Linked DNA regions of Schizosaccharomyces pombe. The gene in region 2 interacts genetically with the main gene of each other region. Each region holds a gene or a part of one and is shown on either strand. Other genes may lie near its edges.

The links.
Region 1: of nrd1 (region 2) and wis1, changing one suppresses a phenotype caused by changing the other (phenotypic suppression), as found in Schizosaccharomyces pombe (one study listed by BioGRID).
Region 3: mutations in nrd1 (region 2) and myp2 impair growth when combined (synthetic growth defect), as found in Schizosaccharomyces pombe (one study listed by BioGRID).
Region 4: mutations in nrd1 (region 2) and rlc1 impair growth when combined (synthetic growth defect), as found in Schizosaccharomyces pombe (one study listed by BioGRID).

The regions. Positions count from the first base shown.
Region 1 is NC_003423.3:1,143,231-1,148,343, reverse strand, and holds wis1 (MAP kinase kinase Wis1), read left to right. Parts: upstream 1-1,740; 5' UTR 1,741-2,559; coding exon 2,560-4,377; 3' UTR 4,378-4,613; downstream 4,614-5,113. Other genes in the region: ubiquitin hydrolase Uch2, read right to left, coding at 5,071-5,113. UniProt on the Schizosaccharomyces pombe protein: Dosage-dependent regulator of mitosis with serine/ threonine protein kinase activity. May play a role in the integration of nutritional sensing with the control over entry into mitosis. It may interact with cdc25, wee1 and win1. May activate sty1.
Region 2 is NC_003424.3:551,883-560,529, reverse strand, and holds nrd1 (RNA-binding protein Nrd1), read right to left. Parts: upstream 5,245-8,647; 5' UTR 3,900-5,244; coding exon 2,310-3,899; 3' UTR 1,479-2,309; downstream 1-1,478. Other genes in the region: tryptophan-tRNA ligase Wrs1, read left to right, coding at 26-1,213; palmitoyltransferase Akr1, read right to left, coding at 7,591-8,647.
Region 3 is NC_003424.3:2,546,722-2,557,116, forward strand, and holds myp2 (Myo3-like myosin II heavy chain myp2), read right to left. Parts: upstream 6,983-10,395; 5' UTR 6,945-6,982; coding exon 630-6,944; 3' UTR 539-629; downstream 1-538. Other genes in the region: vacuolar serine protease Isp6, read left to right, coding at 1-32; SPOM_SPAC4A8.06C (esterase/lipase), read right to left, coding at 7,292-9,028; lcb4 (sphinganine kinase), read right to left, coding at 10,052-10,395. UniProt on the Schizosaccharomyces pombe protein: Stabilizes the F-actin cables forming the F-actin ring that surrounds the nucleus during interphase. May work in conjunction with myo2.
Region 4 is NC_003424.3:3,884,021-3,890,206, reverse strand, and holds rlc1 (myosin II regulatory light chain Rlc1), read right to left. Parts: upstream 2,946-6,186; 5' UTR 2,638-2,945; coding exon 2,083-2,637; 3' UTR 1,710-2,082; downstream 1-1,709. Other genes in the region: Hsp90 chaperone, read left to right, coding at 1-1,433; protein Ina22, read left to right, coding at 3,937-4,110; SPOM_SPAC926.02 (uncharacterized protein), read right to left, coding at 4,176-5,363, 5,520-5,663; protein tyrosine phosphatase Stp1, read left to right, coding at 6,116-6,186.

The DNA.
Region 1 (5,113 bases), on a different chromosome or scaffold from region 2:
ATTCGTATGTACAGTCGTCTTAGTCTACTATTGTATGGTATGTGGCATACGCAGCCGTGGGTGCCAGCCAGCAACCATACCAAGTCAAAAATTTCTCTTATAGCAAATCAATTCTTCATTCAATTCAAATAATGTAAAAAAAAACGCATCTATAGAAACATACGATGAAACTTTTTAAATACAAACTAATAATGAAAATACTCGCAGACTAACAATGAAAATACTCCAAAATCTAATAAAGAATTAGCAATTTGGCATTTCATGAAACCGTAAAGCGTCAAACGAAATGAAATCTAATAAAATTAATAAAATTAAAATAAAATGCCTTCTTCTTCTTCTCAGTTTCATCGTATGATTTTCTCTTTTAATTTCTTCATTTTATTCCACTTTCCTTCTCTTCTTTAGTTTTTCCTCATTTTTGGATGTTGGGAATACAGCCTCTTTCTATCTAGTTTCATCTTCAGCCTTTTTCACCACATGTTCAATCATTCGACTCTTTCTGTATTCTTCTATCTCAATTGAACATTATTGAGTCTGTTTTAATGAAAATTTTTTTTGTCTTCCCTTGATGTTGGCGCAAAACTAGACGTTCCAAATTTTTTCTCATTAATAAAGGATTATCCTCAAATCGTTTTTATAGCCCCCTTTCTACTTTGTTCGAGCATACACCGTACATTATGCATTTGCATATAGATGGAGTGATCTAGGAACTTTTGTAAATTTTTTTCTCTTTGCTTGTTTTTCCTTCCTACGAAAGTTCTACCCCTTCGTTGCACTTTTCACTTCAGTGTCTTTTTCCATAGAACAAAATGTTCCTAGCAGTTTTGCTGCTACTCTTACATTATTTTTGTGTGTTTCCTTAAACAAAAGAAATTTAAAAAAATTAGAAAAAAAAAAAAAATTTAAAAATAAATAAATTTTTTTTTACGCTGCTTCTAGAGCACAAATAACACACTCTCTTCATTCCACTTGCTGAACCTTTTAACGATTATTAAAAAATGTTTTATTATACATTACTACACCTTTTCGAAACACTTGTGCGTTAACTCGCTTTTTTTTATCGCTCTCAAGGACGGAAGCTACTAGGTTAGTTATATTTCTCTTATTTATTTGGTTATACATTTTACCTTGGATCATGATTTTTCTTAGTATACATTGACATTCGAATACCAGCTTTGAAACTTAAAGCCCTATGCACCTAATCATTAATTATTTTTGTTTTTATTTATTTATTCTTTATTCTTTTCTAATCAAACACTACCATATCTATCGGACAATTCAATTCCTTCTGTCAAGACCGATAAATCGTTGTGTTTATCTTCCATTAAAATATTTTTCGGCCCTTTTTTTTTCTGTTTTTCTTTACTTCTATGTATTATTCTCTATACGTTGAGCATTTTACCCAATCATCCTGTGCTTTCCCATTAATCCATCGAGGTATTTCTTACCAGCTATTTCTGCCGTACATTCTTTCCATTTGCATATAAATCTCAGGATACCTTGTTAGAAATCTTGTCGAATGATTCATACAGGTCGTTACGCTTATACGGAGATCTGCAGCATATTATTTGGCTTCACGTTATTTTGATTTTACAAATTTGATTGTATCCCTTAACCATCCCTTGTTTTGATGAAACATTTTTTTATCCACGTTATCCTTATATACTGATACGTAAGCTAACGTGCAAAAGTTTCTCCTTAAGATTAAGCAACGTGTTGTCTGACTTTCGTTATCCTTTTATCCTTCACCAACTCCATCCCATTCCACCTTCTTGTATACCCAAACATACCCCAGCCGGCTGGCGATAGCTGGGATTCCTAATCTCTCAAGCATTCCCTTTCGACGTGTATATCTTATTTACATCGTACCGACTACACTTCCTATTTTATCACCCTCCCTAAATTTTCCCATTTCCTTTAAAGAGCAGAATTTTTTTTGCTCTTTACTGTAAGAGAAAAGCGTTTCTGAATTTTTTCTCTTCCTTCCACACCCTTACGTGTTATCTTTTAGAAAGATAATTTCAAATTTCTTTCCTTTTTATTTCGTGTTTGTGAATTATTACTTTTTCTCCTTACCTTTGCCTCCTTACTCGTCGGTCATAACTCGGTTTTAAAGTATTGACTTCTCGGACTAAGATTAACCCACACCTTTTTACTTTTTTTTCTTTAGTTCTCCTTGGGAAATTTATTATCTAAGCCCCTGTTTCTTCCAGTTTCTGGCTTTTGCTGTTAAATTTAAACCCTTCCAAACCTCCTTTTTTTCCGTGGCATTTACCTACACAAAGCTACTCGTAGGTGATTGCCTTTAAACTTCCTTTTTTTTTCTTGGAATATCCTTCCTGCGGACTTTTTAGACCACCGCTTTTTTTTTCCTTCTTCGTCGGAGACGACTCGTAATTGATTGTCTAATTTTAATTGTTCTTTTCACCCAAGATACCTTTTTTGTATTGCCATCTCACTTTCGTTCATCTTCACTTTTGCTTCATTTATATTACCGGAATTTAGTTTACCTAATTTTTTTTTCTTTTTTTTTAAGTTTGTGAAGCACATTTATTTTATATGTCTTCTCCAAATAATCAACCCTTGTCTTGCTCATTGAGACAGCTGTCTATTTCTCCTACCGCACCTCCCGGTGATGTTGGTACTCCCGGCTCGCTCCTTTCTCTTTCGTCTTCAAGTTCTTCAAACACCGATTCTTCTGGTTCTTCCTTGGGTTCCTTGTCTTTAAATTCTAACAGTAGTGGCAGTGACAATGACTCAAAGGTTTCTTCTCCTAGTCGTGAAATACCTTCCGATCCCCCTCTTCCCCGTGCCGTGCCTACGGTCAGACTTGGCAGATCTACGTCCAGTCGGAGTCGTAACTCTCTTAACCTTGACATGAAGGATCCTTCGGAAAAACCTAGACGTTCACTTCCTACAGCAGCTGGTCAGAACAATATTGGATCTCCTCCTACTCCACCGGGCCCATTTCCTGGAGGACTTTCAACTGATATACAGGAGAAATTGAAGGCCTTCCATGCATCTAGATCAAAATCAATGCCGGAAGTAGTCAACAAGATCAGTAGTCCAACTACCCCTATTGTCGGTATGGGTCAACGAGGAAGTTATCCTTTGCCTAACTCTCAACTTGCTGGTCGATTAAGTAATTCGCCCGTAAAGTCTCCGAATATGCCAGAGTCCGGGCTTGCAAAATCACTTGCTGCTGCTAGGAATCCTTTACTCAACCGTCCAACGTCCTTCAATCGACAAACGAGAATCCGTCGTGCACCACCTGGAAAACTCGATTTATCCAATTCCAATCCCACCAGCCCTGTCAGTCCGTCTAGCATGGCTTCTCGCCGTGGCCTAAACATTCCTCCCACCCTTAAACAGGCTGTTTCGGAAACCCCTTTTTCCACATTTTCGGATATTTTGGATGCAAAATCAGGCACCTTAAATTTTAAAAACAAAGCCGTGTTAAATTCAGAAGGTGTTAACTTTTCATCTGGCTCTTCGTTTCGTATTAATATGTCAGAGATTATTAAGCTTGAAGAACTTGGAAAAGGTAACTATGGTGTTGTGTATAAAGCATTGCATCAACCGACTGGTGTCACTATGGCCTTGAAGGAAATTAGGTTGTCCTTAGAAGAAGCAACATTTAATCAAATTATAATGGAATTGGATATTTTACATAAAGCAGTTAGTCCTTATATCGTTGACTTTTATGGTGCCTTTTTTGTGGAAGGTTCTGTTTTTATTTGTATGGAATATATGGATGCTGGTAGCATGGACAAACTGTATGCTGGTGGTATCAAAGACGAAGGAGTTTTAGCTAGAACTGCTTATGCTGTAGTGCAAGGCCTCAAAACTTTGAAAGAGGAGCATAATATCATTCATCGTGACGTTAAACCTACTAATGTTTTGGTAAATTCTAATGGCCAGGTTAAGTTATGTGACTTTGGCGTGAGTGGGAATCTTGTGGCTTCTATATCCAAAACGAACATTGGATGTCAATCTTACATGGCTCCTGAAAGAATTCGTGTTGGTGGACCTACCAATGGCGTCTTGACTTACACCGTACAGGCTGATGTGTGGTCTCTAGGCCTTACCATTTTAGAAATGGCTTTAGGAGCTTATCCGTATCCACCTGAATCATATACTTCAATATTTGCACAACTATCGGCGATTTGCGATGGCGATCCACCTTCTCTCCCCGATTCATTTTCTCCCGAAGCTCGTGATTTTGTAAACAAGTGTTTGAATAAAAACCCGTCTTTGCGTCCCGATTATCATGAGTTGGCTAACCATCCATGGTTGTTAAAATATCAAAATGCAGATGTGGACATGGCTTCATGGGCAAAAGGCGCTCTTAAAGAGAAAGGTGAAAAAAGAAGCTAAAGGTTCGCCTGCTTTCTAATTGCCTGCTCTGTTTTAAAGTACCCATGCGCATTGGTGTTTGTCTTTAATTTCGAATGCATGACTATTACGTGATCCATAATTATGTTTCAGCAGAACCGACGCTATTTTGCATTTGTGCTTTTTCATAAATTTAATAATTTGGGTATGATTCCGTATAACGGTAGTTGATGTTTGCATTTTTGCTTTAAATTAAAACGGGTATTTAATGTGTTATTACATTTGTTTAAGGCATTTACGTCCACCATAAAAAACTTTTTTTTTATTTAACTAAGGGGCTTTAGAAGTGCAAACGAAAGTTTGCAATTGTAAAAGTTACTTGTACTGTATTAATTTATTTCTTTTAAAACTTCGTTGACTGGCTCCGTCGTTTTAGCTACTATGATCTCCTGTTTCCTACAATGGTGATTACTTAGAGAGATTGAATCCATCGTAAATGCAAGTGTTAATAGATATTATATCGACCTAATAATAATTACTTAAACTATTAATATATTACTCAAAGAGATTTGAGGTATTCATTTATTTAAAAAGTACGAGACTTTTATATATCAAAGAAACAAATTCTCCCAACATAAGTCCAACAAGGTAATCTAGAGTCATAACAGATTTTTATCCTGGAAATGAAAATTCCTTCATAGTGGAATATTTTTTGAGAAAGAACGCCGTAATATATTACGGTCGCTTTTGAGATGCGTATTTCGCTTTTGCAGTTTCA
Region 2 (8,647 bases):
AACAGTTTCTTTTTGAAGAGGAAAAATGTCTGTTGAGGAACAAATTGTGACGCCCTGGGATGTAAAAGGCTCTATAGTCGATGGTGAAGAGAAAGGAATCGATTATGAGCGCTTAATCGTTCAATTTGGCACTAGGAAAATTACTCCTGAACAACTTGAGCGCTTCGAAAAGCTAACTGGAAAGAAGCCTCATTTATTACTTCGTAGAGGTGCTTTCTTCTCCCATCGTGATTTTGATATGATTTTGGACCGCTATGAGCAGAAGAAACCTTTCTATTTGTATACAGGTAGAGGACCAAGTAGTGACAGCATGCATTTAGGCCATATGATTCCTTTTATGTTTTGCAAGTGGCTTCAGGATGTTTTTCAAGTGCCATTGGTCATCCAGTTAACGGACGATGAGAAGTTCTTGTTTAAGCAAGGTGTTTCCTTAGAGGATTGCCAACGATTTGCTCGTGAGAATGCTAAGGATATTATTGCTGTTGGGTTTGATCCAAAAAAGACTTTTATTTTCATGAACAGTACCTATGTTGGAGGTGCGTTTTATCAAAATGTCGTTCGTATTGCGAAATGCATTACTGCAAACCAATCCAAGGCTTGTTTCGGCTTCACCGATAGTGACTCTATTGGAAAAATACATTTTGCGTCAATTCAAGCCGCTCCTAGCTTCAGCAGCTCCTTTCCTCATATCTTTAATGGCGCCAAAGATATCCCGTGTTTGATTCCTTGTGCAATCGACCAGGATCCCTACTTCCGCTTGACGCGTGATGTTTCTGGTAGGTTGAAATTTAAGAAGCCTGCACTTTTGCATAGTCGCTTTTTCCCAGCTCTCCAAGGACCACAATCAAAAATGAGTGCCAGTAAAGATTCTTCTGCGATTTTCATGACTGATACTCCAAACAAAATTAAAAATAAGATCAACAGGCATGCTTTCTCTGGAGGTGGCGCTACAATCGAAATCCACCGTGAAAAAGGAGGTAACCCAGACGTTGATGTTGCATATCAATATCTTTCTTTTTTCCTAGATGACGACGAGAAGTTGAAACAATTGTACAATACCTATAAGGCTGGTACTCTTTCAACCGGAGAAATGAAAGGAGAGTGTATTAAGCTTTTACAGCAGTTCGTTTCTGACTTTCAAGCAGCACGTTCGAAAGTTGATGAGGCGACCCTTGATATGTTTATGGATGGATCTCGTAAGTTAGAGTGGTAGATGCGTTGTCTTTCTTTCATTTTACAAATAGTGTAAATTAGATACTTGTTTAAGTTGCATTATACAATGAAACTGAATAAACTGTTTTTAGATTGTGCTACAATGTTCAGCTGTTCTAATAAATGAGGAAAACATTTACAGCACCAAACGCACAATATAAATAGAGACTCAAATACTGATGCCTTTTCAAAACTCATTACTACGGTAGAGTTTTGTTATGTTTGCATTCATTAATTACCGAACTTTGTACAATCTCTCAACGACGGTGTAGGATGAGCAAAAGAAGAGATGTATATTTACCTAGACCAAAAATATATACATAAGATCATTAGAACAATTTCGGTTTGGAACTAGTAGACAATAATGGGTTGAAAAACGCATTTAGAACGCGACAAATAAACCATAATTAACAAACTAGCATTTAAATATGACCAGACAATCAAATTAAAGCTATTGTTAAGTATTAATCAACACCGTTGAAGTCTTCAGCAATCACTTTTGATAAAGAAATAACGTTGAAAATCGAAACATAAATATATAAGAATATGTAGAATGAAAAAAAAAATAAAAATAGAAGTCAGAAGTACATTTTAAAACTGTAATTGAAAATGTGGAAAGATTCGTCAATATTGTTTGCAAAAACGAATCAAAAACGAAGGACATCGAGCTTTTGATAGAAATACAAACTCGATAACCTCTAACATAGTAGAAAAAATGCCAAATAAAACAAAAAAAAACTGCTACTTCAACAATGAAGGTTTTATAATGCGTAAAAATGAAACAAAGTAAGAAGAAAAGAGTATGGGCCACGTTGAGTAAGGGGCATAAACGAGAGAAAGTAAAACGAAGGAATGTTGAAACAATAGCAAGTAAGGTCATTTAAACAAAAGAATACTTTTTCTTTTGTAATGCGAATGCAAATGGTTACCCTTAATAATCTAATGTAAAAAAGAAAGTGATTTTGTAAAATAAGCAATAAAAAAGTTCGTCAATAAAAGGTGTTTTATGAGCACAAATTGATATGAACTCAAAGCGCTGGAAAACCTTTATCCATAAAAATATCGAACACGTTTAAGAGCAAAACACTCTACAATATTTAAATATTGGAGTTTGTTGGCATAAACCCGGATATTCCTTGCTGAGGAACAACGAGATCAACAGGCATGCTCATATCAGAAGAGACAGAAAGAACGTCTGACTTGGAATTAGTTCTAGGTGGATTACCACACCTATCTTTACCATAACTAATTCGATAGTTTTCATATCCCTTCTTCTGCTTGATTCGATCAATCGCATTAATCGCACTTGCCAACGACGTAAAGTTAACAAAAGCGCAATTCTTTTCGCGGAAAAAGTTGACGTACTCAATTTCGCCAAATTCCTCAAAATCCTCTTTTAAGCGTTCAATAGTCAAAGAATCATCAGCATTGCCAATATAAATGTTACGACTAGCACCACCAGCAACGGCTAAAGCGATATTTGAGGGAAGAGGGCCGCTATGCTTACCCCAACCTATCTTTAAACGACGGTTGCGAATGACCAAACCATGAATGTTGGACATTTCAAAGAATCGAAAAGCAGAAACAGGGTCAACAAAAGTTACGAAACAAATGTGTTTTTCCTGAAGATAACGAATATTGTGTAACAATCCTCCACGAACAGCGTTACATATCTCTTCAATAGTAGTATCAGCATGGATATTACCAATGTAAACAGTGCGATTCCCAGTCATGATAAGATCCGGTTTTTGGAGAACCGGGCTTGGGGGAGGATACCCCATTACGGGATAACCGCCAACAACGCCGACTTGGCCTTTAGAAAAGTAAGCAGGTTGCTTCAAACCCACAGCGCATCTATCCCGTCCGTAGTAAATGCGCCGTTTGGACCATTTGGGGTTTAATGGTAGCTCTTGGACAGCTTTGATTGCAGCTGCAATGTTCAAAAAATGAACAAAAGCTATATTTCGTTCAGTTACGATTTTGATTTGATCAATAGGTCCAAATGGTTCTAAATCTTCACGAATTTCATCTTCAGTAATACCATTCGGCAAGTTGCCGAGGAATACATTCCTACAAGCGCCAGATTGCTGGACTGCAAGTAGTACAGATGAATTCGAGGCTGAGTTCTTGCCCCAACCAACTTTTACTTCAGTACCCCGAATTGTCAATCTCTTCAAGGCAGCATCTTGGAAAAAGGCAGTAGCGTGGCTCGGATCCAAAAAGGAAATAAAGGCACAATTTTTCTCAGGTAGAATCCATGCAGATTCAATTGGTCCCGTACGCACGCAAGAAAGAATCTCATCAATAGGGGTATTGGGAGGAAGGTTACCAACATACACAGTTTTAACAGGTTGTGTAGTGTTATTCGGAAGTGGAAAGTAACCCGGGGCAAAGTTAGCAACATTAGGACTGGTAACACGTGAAACATTATAGCCAGTCGTGGGATGAGCGGGAGCCGCTGCCATTTGGGTAGTGCTAAAGGGCAAGCCATGCATGGAAGTATAGCTCGTTGGGCTTTGAACAAAAGGACTCCCCATAAGAAGCCCGGTAGGGAGTAGAGCATGCGGTGTGTTTGGTGTAGCGAGACCTTCAGCACTTACAGTATGAGGGATAGTAAGTGGTGGTAAATGTGGAGTTCTTCCAGGGACAGAAAGACGGGACTGACTAGAGGGACTGCTAGAAGACATAATGACCGAAATCAATAACTGTTAAAGAAAGAATTATACTAAGAGCACAGCTGCTTGATTGACAAAGGAAGAAATGTAAAATAAAGAAATCAACGAGAGTGACGTTTGGTAACAAATAATAAAGGGGTATATCTTACAATTTATATCACTTTGAAATATATCGAAAACCAAAATCGGACCAATAAAGCTCACGAACTTAGGAGGCAACTTATGATGCGTTTAACGATAAAAATCCAAGCGGGTAATAAATGAATAGTTAAACAATATCGCTTAAAGCTAACAACAAGTCTGTTTAAAAAACTCAATTAGACGAGAAAGACAATAATTAATAGCAACGGAAAATCTTAGCCAAAAGAAAACTGTCAACGTCCAACGTATTTTTTAATTCTAAAAATAAGAAAACTCGTAATTCCCAAACTGAATAAGGAAACTTAGACTGAGAGGCACGTAGGCAAAGCGAATAAATGGAAGGAAAAAATGCGAATGAAACAAGCAGATCACAACAACCTCAACAAAATCTTGAATGATGTGGAAAGGAATATGAGCCTAACAATGGTAAAAATTTTTTTTTTTTTAATTTTTTAAAAAATTAAGCTTACTAAGTAAAGATACCGAACAAGAGTATTAGACTTACTCCAAGAAATTGATGGAGAATAAAACAAAGTGAAATGAACAAGAGTATGACCAAAAAAGCAAAGTATACAATTCAAAGTAGTACGAAAGAATAATCAATCAAAGAATTCTAAAGACGCGTAGAAGTGTATTTTATCTTATAAAAGAAGAGGAGAAAAGTCAACAGTATGGTCGACAGTGAAAGAAGGAGTTTTAGAGAAGAAAAAAATGAAAAGGGAAAGTTAAATTTCCAAGATAATAATGATTATGAGGAGTACAATGGAAGTAAAAAAAATAAAAAAAAAGAATATAGAAAAACTGGAATAAATATATTCGGAAGGCTTGGTAAAAATGCAGGGAAGAGAAAGTAGATTGAAGTCAATGCGTTCTAACGACCCAAAATATAGTATCACAGAGGAGTAAGAAGAGAAAAGAATGTGGAAATGAAAAAAGAAAATGAAAAAAGGCGATGATATTTATTTCACAGGTAGATTTAAAAGGTTGCTTAAAAAGCAAATAAAGGAGAAACAGAAAAAAAATAAGAGAAACAAGTACCAGTATTAGCGAATAATCAATAAGTATACCGCGAAACAAAAAAAATCAAAGCTTCAAAGTAATACACTCATATAAATGCAAATGGTAGAGAAAGAAATATGTTTTTGAGAAAAAAGAAATGAAAAGAGAAAGAATATTAGATATAGCCAGCGGCTATTCGTGTGGTTGAGTATTTGGTAGTGAGCACGTTAACGGCTTTTCGTTACTGCACTAATATTACTGCGTGCTTATAGAGAGAAACAAGCTACATGCCATTAACGATTATCCAGCGTACACCAACATGTGAATATGCCGCCCAAGGTAACATTAATTCTGGATGTTCCTTCAACGACAGAGCGCGAGTGCACAATCGAATGTAAACACTTGACAACGAGCATGGCAACGAAAACAAACAAAAAAGAATGCACTTGTATGGATTGCGGCAATGAGTTAAATAGTAATAGTGGTAAAATAAAGTAAATATATGCCAGTATAGACATATATTAGAATGGCCCACTAACAAGCACGCGCAAACCAAGTTTTCACACACTGTTTTAGAATTTTTCCATCAACGCCGCGTTGTAAATAAAAGTAAATAAATAAGCAGCCGAAGTGGCTCCCCGAGAGTTTCACACAATTTCGCCCACGTACGTATGTGATTGTGTGCTAAGCAGCGTGGGACTCAAGCAAATAGTTAGACTAACTTGATACAAATGCAGACATGTAATCATCTTCCACTTTGTATAAACACAACGAAAATTTTTATGGGGGTAAAGCTTCTGTCGAAATCTCGCCTCGCTATTTCAGATGATTAGTCGATATCAAAGGAATAATTCATAGAAAAAAGCATGTAGTGCCAAGTGACAAGTGATATCTAACGATAAGCCGCTCATAAAAAAATGTAAACAAGAATAATCAAGAATGTTGGCCGAGCAGAATAAATTCCAAAAAAAAAAATAAATCTTCTGCATGAAAATTTAAATTATCTCGTGCAACAATAAATAATGAAAATCACACAAAAATGATAACTTTGACCGTATGTCTTCTTCCCTGAACGCTTTGCTAAGATGTGACTTAAATCCTAAGCTAACACATTGTTCAAAAGTCTCCGCCTTGCACGGTAGAGGAATATTTTCCGCGTGAAATTTAGGGGGCGTAGACAAGCTCAGTAACTGTCAATTTTCACTTTGGATTTTTCTTTCTTTTTCATTCTATTCAGCTTAGTAATTCATTGACTATCTAATTTGTATTTATCAAAATATTCCGCTGTTGCTTAATCTCTATACACAATTTCGCTGTGAGTCGCTTTATGGTGGCCGCCAAGAAGGGTGAGCGAAAGCGCTCTCTAATTATTACACTGACTGATCAGATAGCTAAATAGTCTCCTGCAAAATTGAGTCTTCTGCTAACTTCAATGCCGCTGTAGCGTAGAAAAGTAGACTCGGTAGCTATTGACCTAAACATATCGACTTTTCTTCAACTCTGCAAACTAACGATTGTCAAGGCGTAAAGGTTGCTACGGAGATTTACATATTTACCGGCCAAGGCGTTTAGTCATTTGATTCACCGTGATCATCGGCTTTCGTTTTTTTTTTTAGAAACTCGGGTTAGCAGAGAAACAAATGCCATAAAGTAGAAAAAAGGCATATGCTCGTTCATAACACTCTACTTAAATTGTTTGTAAATTTTGTCAGTTTACGTAAAAATTTTGGTTGTATACTTAATGTTTAGCACTAATTGTCCTTATTCATAAAAAAAAGCAATACAATTTGTTTTATTAATTAATATTAAAGTAATTAGAACACGTAAAGAAGCAGATATTAGGTTTCAAACTACATTGCGATATCTTCAACGAACTACTAATGACTTGGTTTCTTCTGTAATCTTTTCCACTTAACTGTATTCTATTTTACTAATATAGTCTTATTGTAATGTATTCGTGAATCCTCCATTACCCATTTCTTACACTAGAAAAGAAAAGAAAAACTAGAGACCTATACACGTTTCTAAATAACAAAAGCGTATCTCATAAAGATAACAAGAACACTTGAGCCGCTATAAAAGATTGATATTTTTTGTTGGATTAAACAATCCTAAAGCCCAATTTTCTGCAAAAATTATGATCTAGCCATATATAGCCAATCTCTACATAGCAAAAATGAAACAAAAATCTTTTCATTGCAAAAATTAATAGCAAGACGCCAGGTTTCATCAGTTCACACGCACACAAGAAAACTTGAAGTTCAAGTAAACCTTTACTTGTTTCAATCTCATCCTCCCTCACGTTGCAACAGGGTCCAACGACCTTGGAATAAGAAACGAGCCGTTCTACAAATCAAGGATTTCACGATACGTGACATAGCTAGCATTTAATGAGATTCAGAGTGAATCGCGAATATTCTAGTCTAACTTAACTCAACACTCCCGCAACGATGATCCGTGGAGGGATTAAAATTAAATGATGAAGTGATAACTTTTTAACGTTATCAGGCATTCTAACGTTCCATTCTTAATGTTTATAATTAAATTTTTAATCGACAACAATTTAAACATGTCTTGTTGCCTCATCTTGCCGACCATCGTTAAGAAAGTTTTGCTTCCAAAATGTCTTACAGTTCTTAATTATGCTACCCTCATCATATGGATTGACTGTGGAAAGATTACGAGACAAAGAGGTAGAATTTTGGGAACCTAACTCAGCTCTCGATGGGAAACATCTCACAAAGCAATTTGATTCTCTAATTAACAATATACACTGATCCAATCCCAGGATACCACATACTGTACGTAGAAAGCTTCCATGAATTCCGTGACCATTTTTTGGAGATGAATTTTGCTTTGTAGGAGGAACGAGAGTTCCATATCGTTTAAATAGTCGGAATTCGGCTGTGGTCACGTTGTGAGCAACTTGACAAATCTGGGTAAAAGCTAAAACAACTACCCAACACCAATTCACAAACAAAGTTAGAGAAGCAACTAACACAAACATGTCTTTTAAAGACCACTGGCATATGGTACCAGAAATAAAAAGGCACCTATACGACTCGTATTTTTTTTGAATGGGGATATTCTGTAAATAATAAAATGCAACGTAAAAATAAATAGGAATTAAAGTAGACAATGTGAAGACAAAAAGAAGGAATGTTCTATGGTTCCGTGCCCCTACGCAATTTCCAGTCCAAGGACAATGGTGATCATAACGATTAATACACCTTTTACAAGCTCCACAATGATAAGAACGAGGAGGCTTAACTTGAAAGCATTTTAAACAATAATGAGATTGATTAAAAAGATCCTTGTCCAATAATTTGCTAATTTCTTCACGACGTTGAACGACGGCACCAATTTTGTCTACATATCCAGGATTTTGAAAAGCTGTACGAACATATAATCCAATACAAGTAAATGAAATCAAAACAAATAAAAGAGAAGAGAGAGGTTTTATGGGTAACGTCTTAGGTACTATATATAACAAAGAATGACACCATACCCAGAAGAAAATTGAGGAAAATATGCCAGCCAAGAATGGAGTTTCAAGATAGAAATGTACTATGTCAATATTCGCATGAATGCATGTTGTAATATATTTGAACGTAAAGTAA
Region 3 (10,395 bases), 2.0 Mb from region 2:
ACCTTCTCGCTTTCAATGGTGCTCAAGAATAGATTTTACTTCATGTTGGATGCATTCGATGTTTTCAATAAGTCGGTGTTTGATTTTCAATACATCGAGTAATTGTTTTATTTTTTTGAAAACGTTTGCTCCTTTTATGATTGTTCTTTACAAACAGTTTATAATGATTGTTATGACAATAAATATTTTATAATGCAAGCCACTGAATCACGTTTAGAATTTTTATACTTGAATGAAATTTTTTTGTGATGTTCTTCCAACTTACAATGTTAAAGTGTAATTGTAAATGTCCTCTTCTTTTATTTGTATTTGTATTTATATTTGTGCCGCTGTTATGCAAGAGCTCTTCTACATTTAATATCGCCGCCTATCTCTTCATAGTTTTCTTTTACAATGTGATTGCTGCATATAACCATTGTACAAATAATAGGGGTAAAATAAAAAGTAAACCGAACTAAAATGCCTTTTACTTGACCGACTTACTTTTTTTTTTGAACTAAAGTATCCTTGTGGTTACTTGTTACGTTGACGCAGAGCATAATAATAGTAATAATAAAATAATTTTAAATTCATGAACTAATAATTTACATCATCTTAAAAAATACATGTCGAGTCTTTGGGAAGCTTGGCTACCTTAGAACGCTAGGCGAACGATTGGACCTCATGGATAATCTACTTTCACTTCTCTTTACTCTTTGACCCTCCAGCAAAGATCTATATTTATCAAAATCGGTTTCCAAACTTTTGACGCGTTCACGCTCTTCTTGAAGAGCATGTTCCGTCCGACGTAGTGCAAATTTCCATTGTGTTTCTGAAGCTTGCACATCTTCTAATTGATTTCTCAGTTGCGCATTTCTTTCCTCCAAACGAGAAACTGAGCTCTGTATTCTCTTTTTATCATCATCAAATTTTGATATTTGAGCTTCCAGTTGACGGATAGTCCTATCGCGATTGCGACATTCATCAATTCCTTTAATTCGTTCGATGTCGGAAGCAGCAAACGATGCTTCCAAATCTGATATTTGCTTTTGTAGCATTCGGACGTCCTTTGATGTTGATATGGGATAAGTTTTAAGATCTAAATCAAACAATTTGAGCTCCAAATCCTTTTTCTCCTTTTGTAAAACTCCGAGTTGACGATGCAGTTGAAGATTTTCTTCTCGATGATTATTACTATCTTTTTGAGTTTTTAGCGCAAACATTTCGATCTGTTTTATGCGTTCAACTAATGATGATAGTAAGTCATCTTTTTGAGCAAGGTTACTCTTGAGTGTTAATACCTCTTTCTCCATTTCAATTTCATCAAAAGGTCTTGCAGAACTATCGAATTTTTTGTTCAATTGCTCTGAAACTTCGTGAAGTTTTCGCTCAAGGTTTCGATTTTCTCTTAAAAGGGTATCTTGATCTTTTCTTAATGTCTGGTTTGCTTCTCGTACTTCTTGGAGTTGTGCAGTCAAAGAAAGAAGTTGGCTTTGGGCATTTTGTTGCGCTGTTGAGGAAGAATTATTGACACGAGAAAGAGATTGTAAGTCTGCTTGAAGTATTGAATTTTCTTTTAACAAATTTGTCTTTTCCAAAACTAATTCGTCAAATTTGGTACGGATATCACCAATTTCCGCATGCATGTGCCGATTATCTTGTCTAATGCGCAAGTTCTTCTCACGTTCTTCTTCCAACTGTACTTTGAAACCATTTAGCTCCTTTTGATAACGTTGAAAGAGTAGTTGATCCTTCTTTTCTCGTTCCTCGAGATCTTGAACACGAATGACATGAAACTCATCAATTTGTTTCATCAGTTTTTCTTTTTGCAGCAGCAAAGTATTATAATCGTTGCTCTTTTCAACGTAAAGAACTTCATACTCCTTTTGTTTCACGACAGCATCTGCCAGTTCGTTTTGCAGATCAGCATTTGTTGTTTGAAATCCGCGAGCGAGTTCTTCAACTTCCTGTAAACGCCCGGTAAGATAATTTTTAGACCTTTCAGCTTTAGAAAGTGAAGATTCTGCATGCTCATTGAGTGACTGGACCATCGCAAGCTGTTCGCGGTACTTGTTAACTGTAGAAGTAAGCTCCTTTATCTTCATTATATTAACTTCTTCTTGCAACCACTCGGTTTCTTCTTCTCCAGAATAATTAGTTATACTACCATCAAAATTGGGAATTATTAATTGAGAAGCAGTGGGAGCCTTTAAAGGAGATGTAGGAACAGAAGGTCCTTGCAACCCATGAAGCAAACGATCTCTTTCCTTGGTTATCTCTCTTAAAGCTTTTTCCGTTGAAAACAGCTTTTCTTCGCTTGCCGAATATAACTTTGCAATAGCTCGCTTCGATGATATTGCCTTTTCCACAAAACCTTTGATTTGGTTTCTAGTATTATTTGGAACATCTTCAAGTAATGGAGCAAAATCAAGCATTTTATCATCACTGCCTAAATTACTAGTAGTTAAGTTTTTAAGTTCCTCATTTTCTTTTAACAAAGATTGTATAAGTTCCGAAAATTTTGATAGATCTTTGTTATCTAAGATTCCAGACTTTGTAGCTTCCTTTAACTTCAAATTGATTTTTTCAAACTCTGTTTGAAGCACGGAATTCCGTTGATTAACGATAAAGGGATCAGGAATACTACTATTTTGATCAAAATTTCTAATCAGTGCTTCCATTTTGCCAGATCTCTTTGAAGGTGAGCCGGGTTGAGAAGAGGGTAAATTGCTGATTTTGCTTGGAGACAAAGGTTTCAGCCCAGTAAATTCCATATTAGATTCAGGATTATAAAGCTTTTTCTGCAATGATGATATTAAACCACTTTGAGCATCAGAATTAGGATTGCTTAATAGCTTCCGAGAATTCATGATAGCTTGAGTATCTTTAAAAATGTCCGGGGAAGGTCTGTCAGAATTTGATGCATTGAGACGTTCCTTTAATTCTGATAAAGTACTCAACCCTTTTTCAAGCTTCCTAATAGAGTTTGGTATGTGTCCCGAAATGTCAGTAAAAGATAAATCCTTAGAGAGGGAATACAGATTGCTAAGTTCTTCTTCAACGGTTAGTTGCAAAGCATCAAGGCTTTTACTAATTGTTTTCAATAATTTATTGTCAATTTTTCGATCATCGTTATTACCATCAATGCGTTTTAGAGGATCACCTGAATGTTTCTCTTCAAATGATGGATGTGGAGAATTTCCATCTAAAGTGTGTTGTGTAACTGACCGATTTTCTGTTTTTTGTTTTAATAGCCCAACTTTACACCTTTCCTTCTGAAGCTGATTCAGTAAATCTGAAATTTTATGTTCATAACGGCTTTTTATACCTTGGAAGTCTATGAAATCACTAGCATTCTTCTCCAAAACACCATTTGTATCTTTCAAATCCAGATTATCAGCATTTAAAGAGATAATTTCAGTTTCCTGATCCTGAATTTGGTATTTTAAGGCCTCAATTATATCACATAGTTCAGAATTTTTTCTACGAAGCTTTTCTTCAGTCGCTATACTTTGCTCAAGCATCTCACTTATCTCTTTAATCCGTTCAGATAACTGGTTTGCTTCTTTCGTATGTAATGATTTAAGCTCTTGAACATCCTTCAAAATTGAAAGCGTGGTCGAAGAAGTAGAATAAATATTCTCATCACTGTTTAAGGGGCCACTTTTTACATCATTAATGTTATGAGTTTTCTCAGGATTTTGAAAAGCTTTATGAAGTTGATCTCTGTATTCCGTGATTTCCTTCTGAAAGATAACTAACTCGGCTTCCTTCTTATTCAATTCACTTTCTGTTTCTGAGTATTTGGAAACAAGACTTGCTAATTGAGATTCGTAAGTACGACATTGGTCTTTTAAGCTTGCGTTTTCTTCCCTTAATTCTTGAACCTTTGTATCATAACTTCGTTGCTTTAATAGTAACTCATCATCAAGTCTCATGAGTTTCTCATTCAATTCGCGAATATTTAAATTCTTTTCGTTAATAGCCTTTTCAAGATTTGATAAATGCTGCGAACTATGTTGATAATCCGCCATGATATTCAGATAGTCTTTCTCAAGCTCTTTATATTTAGAAGAAATCGTTTGCTCGTCCTTCTTAATTGAAGACAGCTTTTTCTCCAATGTAGATGATAAATCGGAAAGATAAGAAATTTCTGTCTGTTTGTTGGCAAGGTCCTCCTCTATGCTTTGCTTCTCTGCATACAAAAACTCATATTTTTCATCAGCAATAGTTACTTGATTTTCCAAACTTGACAGTCTCTCATGAACAACTTCAACCCGGCTATTGGCTCTTTCTACCAAAATGTCCTTTTCATGTGCCAGAGCTTGTTCCTCTTGCAAATCGTTAGTCAATTGTAAGACTCGTTCTTTGGTAATAGTTAATTCGTTTGCAACTTCCTTGGTACTTTCCAATTGATTCTGTAAATTATTTATGAGTGCGTCTTTTCTTCTTAAATACTCATCAGTCTGGGTTGTTCCCAATAACGGTTTAAGATGCAGAAAAAGATTCCACCAAGGATGTGGCTTCAATAACTTCAACTGCCTCAAGTTATGCTGTAGAAGGATAGCTGCATCTTGCCTATGATTAAACCGGTAAAGTCTCCGTCTTGTCAAAAACCCACGAATGCGAGCTGAAAATGAATTAAATATCACCCGCAGTAAAGCGTTTCTGCGATCCTCTAAAGAACCCAAGACACTGGCTTTAAAAAATACCTTTGTTTCACCCAAACGGTATACGGTACTAGGTAATTTTAATTCATTGATGATCGTTATTGTTGCCTTTTTTGCTTCGACATATCCTCTCTTTAATGACTGCGAAAGAATCCCATAACGAGCTCTAAATTCTGTATAAAATAGTTTGTTTGGAAATCCAGTTTGAGCAATTCTAATACCCTCCAGTACACCGTTGCATCGAAGTTGATGAAGAACGAGAGATTTATCCAAATTGTGAGGCTGCTTCAAATTGTTTGGAATAATGCATCTGACAAAGTGAGGCTGAGTTGCTTCGAGTTGGTGCATAAGACTAGAAAGCTGTCTCCTATGACGCTGCGACACAGTACGAAAGATTCCTTTCTTTTCAATGTTATCTCGACCACTAGCATTTGACGAATAATCATCAAAAAGAGAAGACACATGACTGTTAGTAGATTTGAACATTAGTGCGGCAAGACATGCATTTAGAGGATCTTTGTTTTTCTCCAGCCAATCTTTGGTATCATATTCGACATCACCAGCATAATGTTTTAAAACAAAGCCTTCACTAGAAAACTTTTTAGGACGGTATATATCGGATTTACCCTTAAAAAGAAGGTGAAGTTTTTCTGTGAATGTAGCATCAGTAGCCATTGGCATAACACAATCCTCGTCGAGGCAAGAAAAAATACCAATGGGCTCAGATTTTTCGATAGCATCTATGGTGGGCTGCAAATCATTTCCGTAGTCAATAAAATCCCATTCGATGCGTTCTTGTGTATATTCTTCTTGTTCCAGAACGAACATGTAATGATTAAAGAATTGCTGAAGCTTTTCATTTGTAAAATTAATACAGAGTTGCTCAAAACTATTAAAAGTGAAAATTTCAAACCCAGCAATATCTAAAACCCCAATGAACCCATCATGTTCAGACTGAGAATAATACATAGTCTGATTCAGACGTTTCACTAAATGCGCAAAATTACGCTCATAAAGGCCTTTGGCTAAGGATTGTAGTGTATGGACTACTTGTTCACGTGTTCTTGCCGTCACAATCCATTCTCGTCCAGCTTTGGACTTTGGGTGTAAAGCTGCATTAACAAATCCATCAACAGGGATTTCGAGTAAATGGCATAATTGATCAATTTGCGTTAAGGAAGGAAATCTAGCTTGCCCCGAACGATCAGATGCTACTTCAATATTTCCTATATGAAGAATTGAAGCTATAATTAAGAACAAACTGTGAATTTCGTTATTATCAAACCCCAAAGTTCTGAGACCAAAGCATAATTTTTGAAATTCTTTGCCATCATCGACTCCATTAATATGCTTGAGACCATTTTTTAAATATGAGTAATGGTCAACATATCGATCAAGGAAAAGACTTTCAAGCAATGATCCATCAGCACCTCGAAGTAGTTGATAAAAGACGTGATAATTGCGTTCATTGGAGGAAGGATGTATAACGCGAGATTTTTCCAAAAGGTACCAGTCTAAATTCGCTCCAACGATGCTTCCATTATTAGAAAATTCAATTCGTATGAACTTGCCAAAGCGGGATGAGTTGTTATTCCGGACAGTCTGAGCATTCCCAAAAGCCTCCAACACAGGATTCGTTTCAAGGATTTTCTTCTCCAACTGTTGAGAATCGCTTGTGGAAGCATCAGTGACCGATGTTAGGTACTGAATAACCTTTTTAGTAGTTTCAGTTTTTCCAGCTCCTGATTCACCAGTAACTAAAATAGATTGATTGATCCTCCTTTCTAATAAACTTCGATATGCGGCATCAGCTGTTCCAAAAATATGGGGTTTAGTTTCTTTAAACTGTTTAGATTGGTATTTTCGCACAACATCATCGCCATAAATTGGTAAATGACAATAGGGGTTTACAGCAACGAGAAACAAGCCTGAATAGGTATATATTAAATCTTTCTCATAACGCTGAGTAAGGTTGTTAACTACTGATGGTTCGTTGAGACATGTCAACGCAGCCATGTCATCAACCATATCAAACTTCGGTGGATTTACTTTTTCAGCATCAAATCCATCCACAATTCTTTCCGAGCCATCTCTTTCTAATTTCACCCTATATTTTTCTCCTAAATCTTCAACTATCCAAGCTTTCACGAATGATTCCTTCGAATCAGGAATCCAGATCCATGTCCGTTCATCAAAAGACGCGTCTTTCACGGCATTGCAATGTTTTTCAGCATCTACTAGCTTTTTGATAATATTATTGTTGTCGTTAGAGCCATTTTTTGAAAGATACGACATTAAATTAAGAAGTATAACACATTGGCAATGCTGCAGCTGTATAAATCATGACTGCGCAGCAATGTAAATATTTATGAATGTTACTATGGCAACGAAATACAAATGGATTGTTTACAATACTATGTAAGAGAATACTTATAAATGGTTAAACAATAAATTATACCTGTTAAAATGTAGTAAGCCAGTCGTCTTTTGCCAGGATATTAGGCACGTATGTGGATATCCCTTAGTAATCTTCTGATAAAATAAATAAGTTGAAGTAAAGTGAATAACTAAAGAACTCAACTTCAACGAAAAAGGAAATCGAGAAGAGATAAAATAAAAGAATGAAAACAAGTCTCAGGCAATTATTGTTTTTTTTCGGGGCTAATTTTACAGTTAGCTACCAAGGCAGAAAGTGGAGGATTTTCCCCTTCCATCGTATACTCTTTGGGCTTGACTAAATACCCATTTAAATCGGCGTGTTTAAATTCAGCGAAGTACCGTGCTGGCTTTTTAGTGTCTTTACTGAGCAAGATTAATTCAACGTCAATCCAGCGAATGAGTGCTTTCACCTGTATAGTACCTAAAGCACTTTTCGGTAAATTTAAACATTGAATTTCATCTTTAGGCTCCATCAATCGTTCCTCACCATTTCGCGAAATTCTTAAACGAACCATATCTTCATTAGCATGAGACGGATTACCATCAAGGTGTTTATTAGGCGATACAAAAGACGAATCATGCTGCTTTAAACACCAATAAGCAAAATTAGCAGCACGTCGGACCATAATCCCAGCTTCTTTTACAAAAGGAAGAGCTGTAACGACATGACAACAATCATCGTACATTTCCAAACGAACCTTTGTACGCTTACCATTGTATACGTCTGTATTCATTTTGTGAGCGATGTACACTATTTCGTCTCGTAAGCGTTCGCCCGATCCACCCAGAACAAGTGACGGCGGTAAACCACCAAGGTTTTCAGTGAAGATAGGACTGATCAGAGGATGCTTTAAATTTGCATTAGAGGTATAAAACTGTACTTGAAAAGGAAATGTAGTCAAAATGTTAGGGTCTAAACGAGAGTCCACATTGTCAAAATCAATACGTGCATGTTCTTTATCCATCTCTTGCAACACGGGGATCAAATTTTTGATGGTCTGAATTTTTTTACGTATGCTGTTTTCAATAAAGTTAGTCAATTCTTGTTTCTTGGAATAATTTAGTAATTCCTTTTCGGATATCGTTGAGAAAGAATCTAAGTTAGTAATGGGCCAATATCTGCTGGCTCGGTGATGAAATCCTTCGCTTGGAATATAGTCAGCAGCATCATCTGCAACTACAGAAGGAAGACTATGAGTCAAATCAACCCAAGGGGAATCATAAACTACTCCAGCAGGTAAGGGTAATTTTGAATCTCTAATCAAAACTAGTGATGCAACGATTAAACCAGCACCTGAGCTATCGCCCATAAATATTATATTTTCTGGCTTGGTGCTTTTAAGTAGATACAAATAAGATGAAAGTACATCATGCAAAGAGCAAGGAAAGGGAAATTGCGGTGCTAACCGCAGATCTGGAGCAAAGGTTCTAGCACCCAGAGCTGCAGTATGACGCTGAATATGATAAGCATTAGTACGAACAGTACTTAAATAATGAGCACCTCCATGAACATAAAAAATAACTTTATCACATTTGAGATTGTGCCTTATATGATGTCGCCTTTCAATCCACCAGGATTTTAAAGGTGACTTTCGATAAAGCCACCAGTTTGAGCCCCCAAATTGTTTAATGCCTTCTGGTCCCAAATAGTTTCGAATGTAAGAAGCAGAATCTGATTCTGACTTTGAATCTATAGGTTGTGATGTAAATTTAAACTTAAACTCATCCGTTAAGCTCCTTGAGCAAAAATCTTGAACAACTTCTACTTTATAATCCCTGCTATCAATTAAAAATTTTTTTAAAATCGACACTCCCAAATCAAGCATGAAAGTTCTATTCTTGCGTAACTCATGATGAGCCAGGAAACGGAATGCTTGACTAAACGTTTTAGATATTCCATCATTAATTGATTCGACAGTTAACTGCTCCTTTTTCAGCATTGTCTAAAAAATAACGGTTTTTTAGCAAAAAATCGCATAGATTTATTTTTTAACTCTATTAGAAGGATAATGATACAAAAGTATTAAAAAGAACAAAAAATGCTGCCAAAGAGAAGCATAACATTTAAAAGAGACGTTGTATTTATATTAATTCATAAATGCTGCAACTCTTGGCCTTACTACAGAGTAATGCTCTCGCGATTGTTAGTTTTATACTATGCAAAAAATGCTTCGGCCTTCAGTAAAACTCACTAAATTGTTTTTGACGAGCTTTACAACTAAGATGGGTATGTTTACATTATTTAGCTGTAAGTTAAATTTACTTATTTTTTTTGTTTCCAATAGTTTGACTGGTAAGTATTCATCATATTTTAATATCTATATATGCAGATTATCTATGCCCACCAGAACAAAACGCATTATACGAGGTATAAATTTGAAACACAATAAACTGGCGCTGGACACGAGTAACTTCTTCTAATGCACTTCATAATATTATGAGTATCATCATATGAATAGGAGTTTTTAAGCCTGTTTTATTATCCGTCGTATAAGCAATGTAATGAAGACATAAATGTTTAATAAACAAATTCTGATAACGTATAATTGACTACCTCTAATTCGACTATTGAACAATTAAAACCTGAAGTACAAAATGATTAGTGATAAATCCAGTGCATCGCAACACCACTAAACGTGCTAACGAACAGGAATAGAAGTGTACTTCTTCAGTCTACGATAACGTTTTGTAATTTCCTAATTTGCAAATTAGGATGGGCGAAAGTACAAAGAAAAAGAATACTTAATGCTCTTGCTTTTGTTCGGAATCTTTCTAAATGTCGTATATAAATTCGGAGGAAAAGAACTCTTAGTTCGCTGTTTATTAAATACAATTAAACGAAATTAAAACAAGTCTAAAATTATAGAGCCTAAGCGTGGCTTAATTACAGAAAACTAATTAATTAATGAAAACCCCAATAAGTTGGACAAATTGAAAAAAAAAAAAAAACCACTCGCTGTTGCTTATATATCCAACAATTGAAACCCTGCAACAGGAGATAAAGTAGTTCCTAATTTTGGAGCCACGCGACATTCAAATGGTTCCAATGGGTAACTTTCACCATCTAAAGCAAAATAATGACGCTTTCCCGTATTAACAGGAGTAAATCGAAAAGAACGAACTTTGTAATAGTTTAAATGCTTAGAGTAATAAAAACCTCCATTATCGAGTTGAGTAAACATACTCAATAAAGATTTACGAAATTGTTTAGAATAAACAATTACAACATCGATTAAGCCGTCATCGTTGCTAGCTGCAGGGAACATTTTTGCATCAGGTGCGATATACGGAAGTAACCCAGCACAAA
Region 4 (6,186 bases), 3.3 Mb from region 2:
AGAATGAAGAAGACGATAAGGCTCCTAAGATTGAGGAGGTTGATGATGAATCTGAGAAGAAGGAGAAGAAGACCAAGAAGGTCAAGGAGACCACCACTGAGACTGAGGAGTTGAACAAGACCAAGCCCATTTGGACTCGCAACCCCAGTGAAGTTACCAAGGAAGAGTATGCCTCTTTCTACAAGTCTTTGACTAACGACTGGGAAGACCATTTGGCCGTCAAGCACTTCAGCGTTGAAGGTCAATTGGAATTCCGTGCCATTCTTTTCGTCCCCCGCCGCGCTCCTATGGACCTTTTTGAGGCCAAGCGTAAGAAGAACAACATCAAGCTCTATGTTCGCCGTGTTTTCATTACCGACGACTGTGAAGAGTTGATTCCTGAATGGTTGGGTTTCATTAAGGGTGTTGTTGATTCTGAGGACTTGCCCTTGAACTTGTCTCGTGAGATGCTTCAACAAAACAAGATCATGAAGGTTATTCGTAAGAACCTTGTCCGTCGTTGTCTTGATATGTTCAACGAGATTGCCGAGGACAAGGAGAACTTCAAGACTTTCTACGATGCTTTCAGCAAGAATTTGAAGCTTGGTATCCATGAGGATGCTGCTAACCGCCCTGCTTTAGCCAAGCTTTTGCGTTACAACTCCCTTAACTCCCCTGATGATCTTATCAGTCTTGAGGACTACATCACTAAGATGCCCGAACATCAAAAGAACATTTATTTCATCACTGGTGAATCTAAGCAAGCCGTTGAGAACTCTCCCTTCTTGGAAATCTTCCGTGCCAAGAAGTTTGATGTTCTCTTCATGGTTGACCCCATTGATGAGTACGCTGTCACTCAACTCAAGGAATTCGAGGGCAAGAAATTGGTTAACATTACTAAGGATGGTCTTGAGTTGGAAGAGACTGACGAGGAGAAGGCTGCTCGCGAGAAGCTCGAAAAAGAGTATGAGGAGTTTGCTAAGCAACTTAAGACCATTTTGGGTGACAAGGTTGAAAAGGTTGTTGTTTCTAACAAGATTGTTGGTTCTCCTTGCTTGTTAACTACCGGTCAATATGGTTGGTCTGCTAACATGGAACGTATCATGAAGGCTCAAGCCCTTCGTGATACTTCTATGAGTGCCTATATGTCTAGCCGCAAGACTTTTGAGATTAACCCCAAGTCTCCCATCATTGCTGAGCTCAAGAAGAAGGTTGAGGAGAATGGTGCCGAAGACCGCTCTGTGAAGGATCTTGCTACTATTTTGTATGAGACCGCCTTGTTGTCCTCTGGTTTCACTCTTGATGACCCTAGTGCTTATGCTCAACGTATCAACCGTCTTATTTCTCTTGGTCTTAGCATTGACGAAGAGGAGGAGGCTCCTATTGAGGAAATTTCTACCGAATCCGTCGCTGCTGAAAACAATGCTGAGAGCAAGATGGAGGAAGTCGATTAAATCAAATGCATCTAATGTGTCTTTCCAAAATTTATGCATATAATGTTTTTCTTGGATTAAAGCAAGTTATCCTATACATTGTTAACGATTCTAGTGTCTGTTGTCATTCAAAAATTTCTTTCTACACGATTTTTCTTAATACACACTAGATTACAGGTTGTTTGGAAGTTGTTATAATATGGAATGTTGATTAGTAATATTAAAGTTTATGGATACTTATTAGTACATCAAATTTTGTTTTCGAATAATGTAGTTTATACTACTAACAAGTACAAGTTGGTGCTTAAAAGTTATTTTTTTCTAGTCATGTGAGAGCTGTTTTACAAGGTAGGATAATTTTGATGAGGAACATAGGTATGCTGGGCTAATATAGATTTATTCATACATTAATTGAACCCTCGAATGAAAATATGGTTAATGACATTAAGCCTAAGCTCTAACTCACTAAACACTGCAAATAATAGTAAAGTCGCAGAGAGTAGCTAAGTATTGAGACACATAAAGTATAGGTCACAACGAACATAAATGTATCAAATGCTTTCATAAAAAGTTAAAAGAGAAGAGGAAAATTCGTCTAAGGGAAATGGCTCAGGTTAAAAAGATAAAGTATTAGAGGGAAGAATGTGAAACATATCTGGCTGCTCTTAACTCAATTGCTATCTTTTGACCCAGCAATAGCATCAACGAATTTCTCGTAATAGAATACACCATGACTGGTGTACGAGCGTAAAATAGACTCGACTTCTTGAGGATCCATTCTATCACCCATACTTGACAAAGCATCTCTCATAGTGGAAATTGGAATTTTGCCGGATTGAGTATCATCGAATGTAGAGAACGCTTCTAGTAGATCATTTCTGGGGGAGATTCGACACAGCATACTACCCATCGCAGTGAGAAAAGCGGCTAAATTAATAGGCGGATTTATTGACTCAAACATGTGATTGATTGAATCTTCGGAGGCATCCTGATTCAAAGAAGTAAGCATGGTTTTGACATCCTCTCTTCCAATATTACCGTCACCATCTTTGTCTAATAGGGCAAAAGCCTCTTTAAGTTCTTGAATTTGGGAAGAAGTAAGTTGCGCAAATGCACCAGAAGATGCTCGTTTAGCGGCTTGGGCAGCAACTCTTTGAGAAGATGTTGTATTTGATGAAAATGGGGCACGTTTAGCACCTAAGGAATTTTCCTTCGAAGAGAACATCGTTAACAGAGCAAATGATCAAATAAGATATAGTTATGCTGTAAAGTAAAGTACGGAAGAATTAAGAAATGAAAAAAACTGCTGCCCTTACTGCAATAGCGGTAAATATGAATTTTATACACCGTAAGGCGAGGATATCAGCAAGTCATAAAAAAGGAGTCTAAATCAGTCACTAAATGCTAAGACTTGAAATATTCAAAAGGGAAAGCTAAGAATTCTCTAAGTAAATGTATCTGACAATTAGTTGTAAAAAAATCTATAAATAGACATATAGGAAGTAACCTATGATTGTTGATATTCAAGCTCTTGGTAAGTCTCAGAATTTAACATAGGCATGGAATACTGAGAACAAAGGAGATGTTAGTCTTTAATGACCCACGTTTGGTGCCGTTAAAATTAGAGAAAAGGCGAACTCTCAAGGATTTTTTTTTTTAGTATACATTTAGAAGAATTATATTTATCATAGTGTTTTATTTCTTATGATTATTATTTTATATGCTTAATCAAATCTCAATGTTTGATCAACAATGCCATGAGCATAATAATAATTTAATTTCGAGGGGTTAATAAAAGTTGAAACAAACGTAAGCAAATTTGTCAAGGATATAATGTCATTTATAAGTTGTATACACAGTAAAAAGTAGAATCAAAAAGGCCTCTTGAATTAGCGCTTCTTTTGATTTTATTTATTTACACTAATTTCGCTGAGCTGTCAAGGTTGAACAAAAGTAAAACTCAGTTAACAAAAAGTGAAATTTGAATAAATGAGTTAAATCAAATAGGCCTTGAAATATCTTTTTGCGGGCAAAGACTGAGTAGGCTGGGAATGAAGGAAATAAGGAGTATGACTTTAAGAACCAACTAGCATTATTCGGTTGAATTAAACAAATCCTTATTATAAATAAAAAGTAACAATAATAGAAACTGAATAATTTCTGATTTAATGGACAAAACTAGATAGACAATAGAAATTCTGATTTACAGAGATTTAATGAAAGTCAATAAATATCAAAGCATTGCAGAAAATTGATTTACCGTTATCCTACACAGTTCCGTACAGTCAAAACTTGTCTTAATGGTAATCCTTATTTCGAGCGAAAAATATTGATTTTCTTTTTCTCTTTGTCTTTCGGTATTTTGGAGTTTTGATTCTTAAGTGTTCAACGCCTTTAAAAGGCTCAATCATTTGTGATTTATATTATATCGATTAATTACAGCAGCTACTCCAAATACTGAGTCTGAACTTGCACACCAAAGATATTAGAAACAGTTTTTTTTAGTTAAAAGTCAATTTTTTCCATGTTACGTTGGTCATCAACGTATACGTTCGGGCTATTATGGCTCATCATCGGTAGCGAAGCATTTCATCTGAATGCTCTGAAGCAAGATCATTTGGAGCGTATGAAACAATACGATGCAAAAATTCGGCTAGCGAAACATGAATTTGATGATACAAGTAATGAAACAAAGTAAAACTTTATATTTATAATTGGATTCACTAATTAGCCTGCCAAATTAAGTAAGAAACGTCTGTTTCTTTAAATGGTATTGAGAATGTCTTCTTGAGCAACCTCAGTTAAGGAGTCCAGCATCTTAATCGTTTCTGGGTTGGTCAATTTCTGTAGTTGATAATGCTTTAAGACAATCTCCGCAAACGTTCTTGTTGTCTTTTTGGTTGAATAATCACGGAATGCTTTTTCGTATAATACTTTGGCATTTTTATACAACACAAGTTTGGAGTTTTGAGCTACCATGATGGGGATAGCTGCACGTTGAATCTCTAAGTCAGCTCTAGAAATGAGTATTCTTACATGATTAGGATTGTAAGTGTTAGCCATCTTTAAACTTTTGGCAGCTACTCCTAACATATTCCAGGCTCTAGTCATTATTTCAATAGATGCGCTTTCTTCTGTAGATACGCAGGAATCTAGTAGCGTCTCTGCAAAGTCTATGTATGCATCGGCTTTGTCGCACAGCAATTGAATATGCAAAGGTTTAACAGACGAGTTCGGATCCAACGGGTTTTGCAAGTTTAGCTGTGGTAATTGGCTAAGTTGATGGTCAAAAACTTGCAGTAAATCAATCCATGCCACCTCATTTTCTTTACCACCAAGTACTAAACGTTTGGTTTTCGCCAAGTACCAGTCCATTAGCTTTAATATATCGAGTTTTTCCGTAATCGGTAGCATTATCTGACAGAGTTTCTCAAAATCTGATTCTTCAAGTAACTTGCAACTGCATGCTAAAGAAGCAATTTCGGTAACTAATGTCGATGCCTCTTTGTCTGCTTCTATAAAGTATAATCGTCGAGCCTGTATGTCAGGTATTTCTTCATATTTTTGTTGCGACGATGTTTGTATAGTATTTTCCCATTCAATTCTTTCTCGTTCTTGTAAATCAATGCTATGTGAAATGGATTGCAGTGCTTGCTGGATTTCAGGATATGCCAAATCTTCGCGATCAAGATCCACCCAAATCTCAGCCAAATTAAGATGAACCTGCGCAAGGTTGAACCAAATATCTGGGGCCTCTTGTAATAATAAGGCGTGCTTATGCATCTCAATACTTTTCTGGAGGCATACTTGTGAATCTTTGTATAGCATATCGCAGTTTGTAGCCATATTGAGTAGCAATCTTGCTTTATTAAAACGAGCATCAAAATCATTCGGACATTGTAATAAATATCTATCATATGTTTCAAGGGATTTTTGATAAAATCTTAAACACTATTGCTTGTTAGTTTTAATTTCACGTGCTCAAGTATTGAGAACTCGGCGCAAAAAAGCGTAAATTCTATTTGTTTCTCAAAACTAATATTACAATTCGTATGAATGATCATGTTCAAACGTTTTTGAAATTCACCATTATAGCTTTGTACATACCTTTGCAGGTTCCAATCGCCAGCGATCCCCACTTTCTTCTAGATCAATAGCTATTTCAAAGAGTTCATCTACAGTCGGGTTTTTCTTAGGTTTGGCTTTTTTCGTCTTTAGTCCTTTTAGCACTTGATTTCTAGAGAAACTCATATCTGATATTCCAAAAAATGTATGCAAATGCTTAAAACAAAATAAAATAAAAAAGTTATGTATGAGAAATAAAATGCAATATATTGTAATCAGTAAAAATAAAAGATTGTGACAGTCAACATTAATTGGTAATGGACAATTGAGGTTGCACTAATTTGACATGTCTTTGCATTTTCCTCTACTACCTTGAAACGTGAAAATACGATCACTTTCGTTTTACATTCAACATTCCTTAAATATTTGGAAACATTGTAGTTACTTTTTAGTATTTTTCAATATTGTTAAAAACGGGAGGTGCACCTACCAAAAGTTCAAACTTTTTTATTACCAATTAACTGTGGTAAAAATTCGCTTGTCTTTCATTTAAACTTACACCTTCTATAATATCTATACATTACAAATAGAAGAGGAAATTTTGACTCATCAAAAATCCCAAGAATATACTATAAACTATGACCAAGAATATTCAAGTACTTTTTGTATGCTTGGGAAACATTTGCAGAAGTCCAATGGCTGAGGCAGT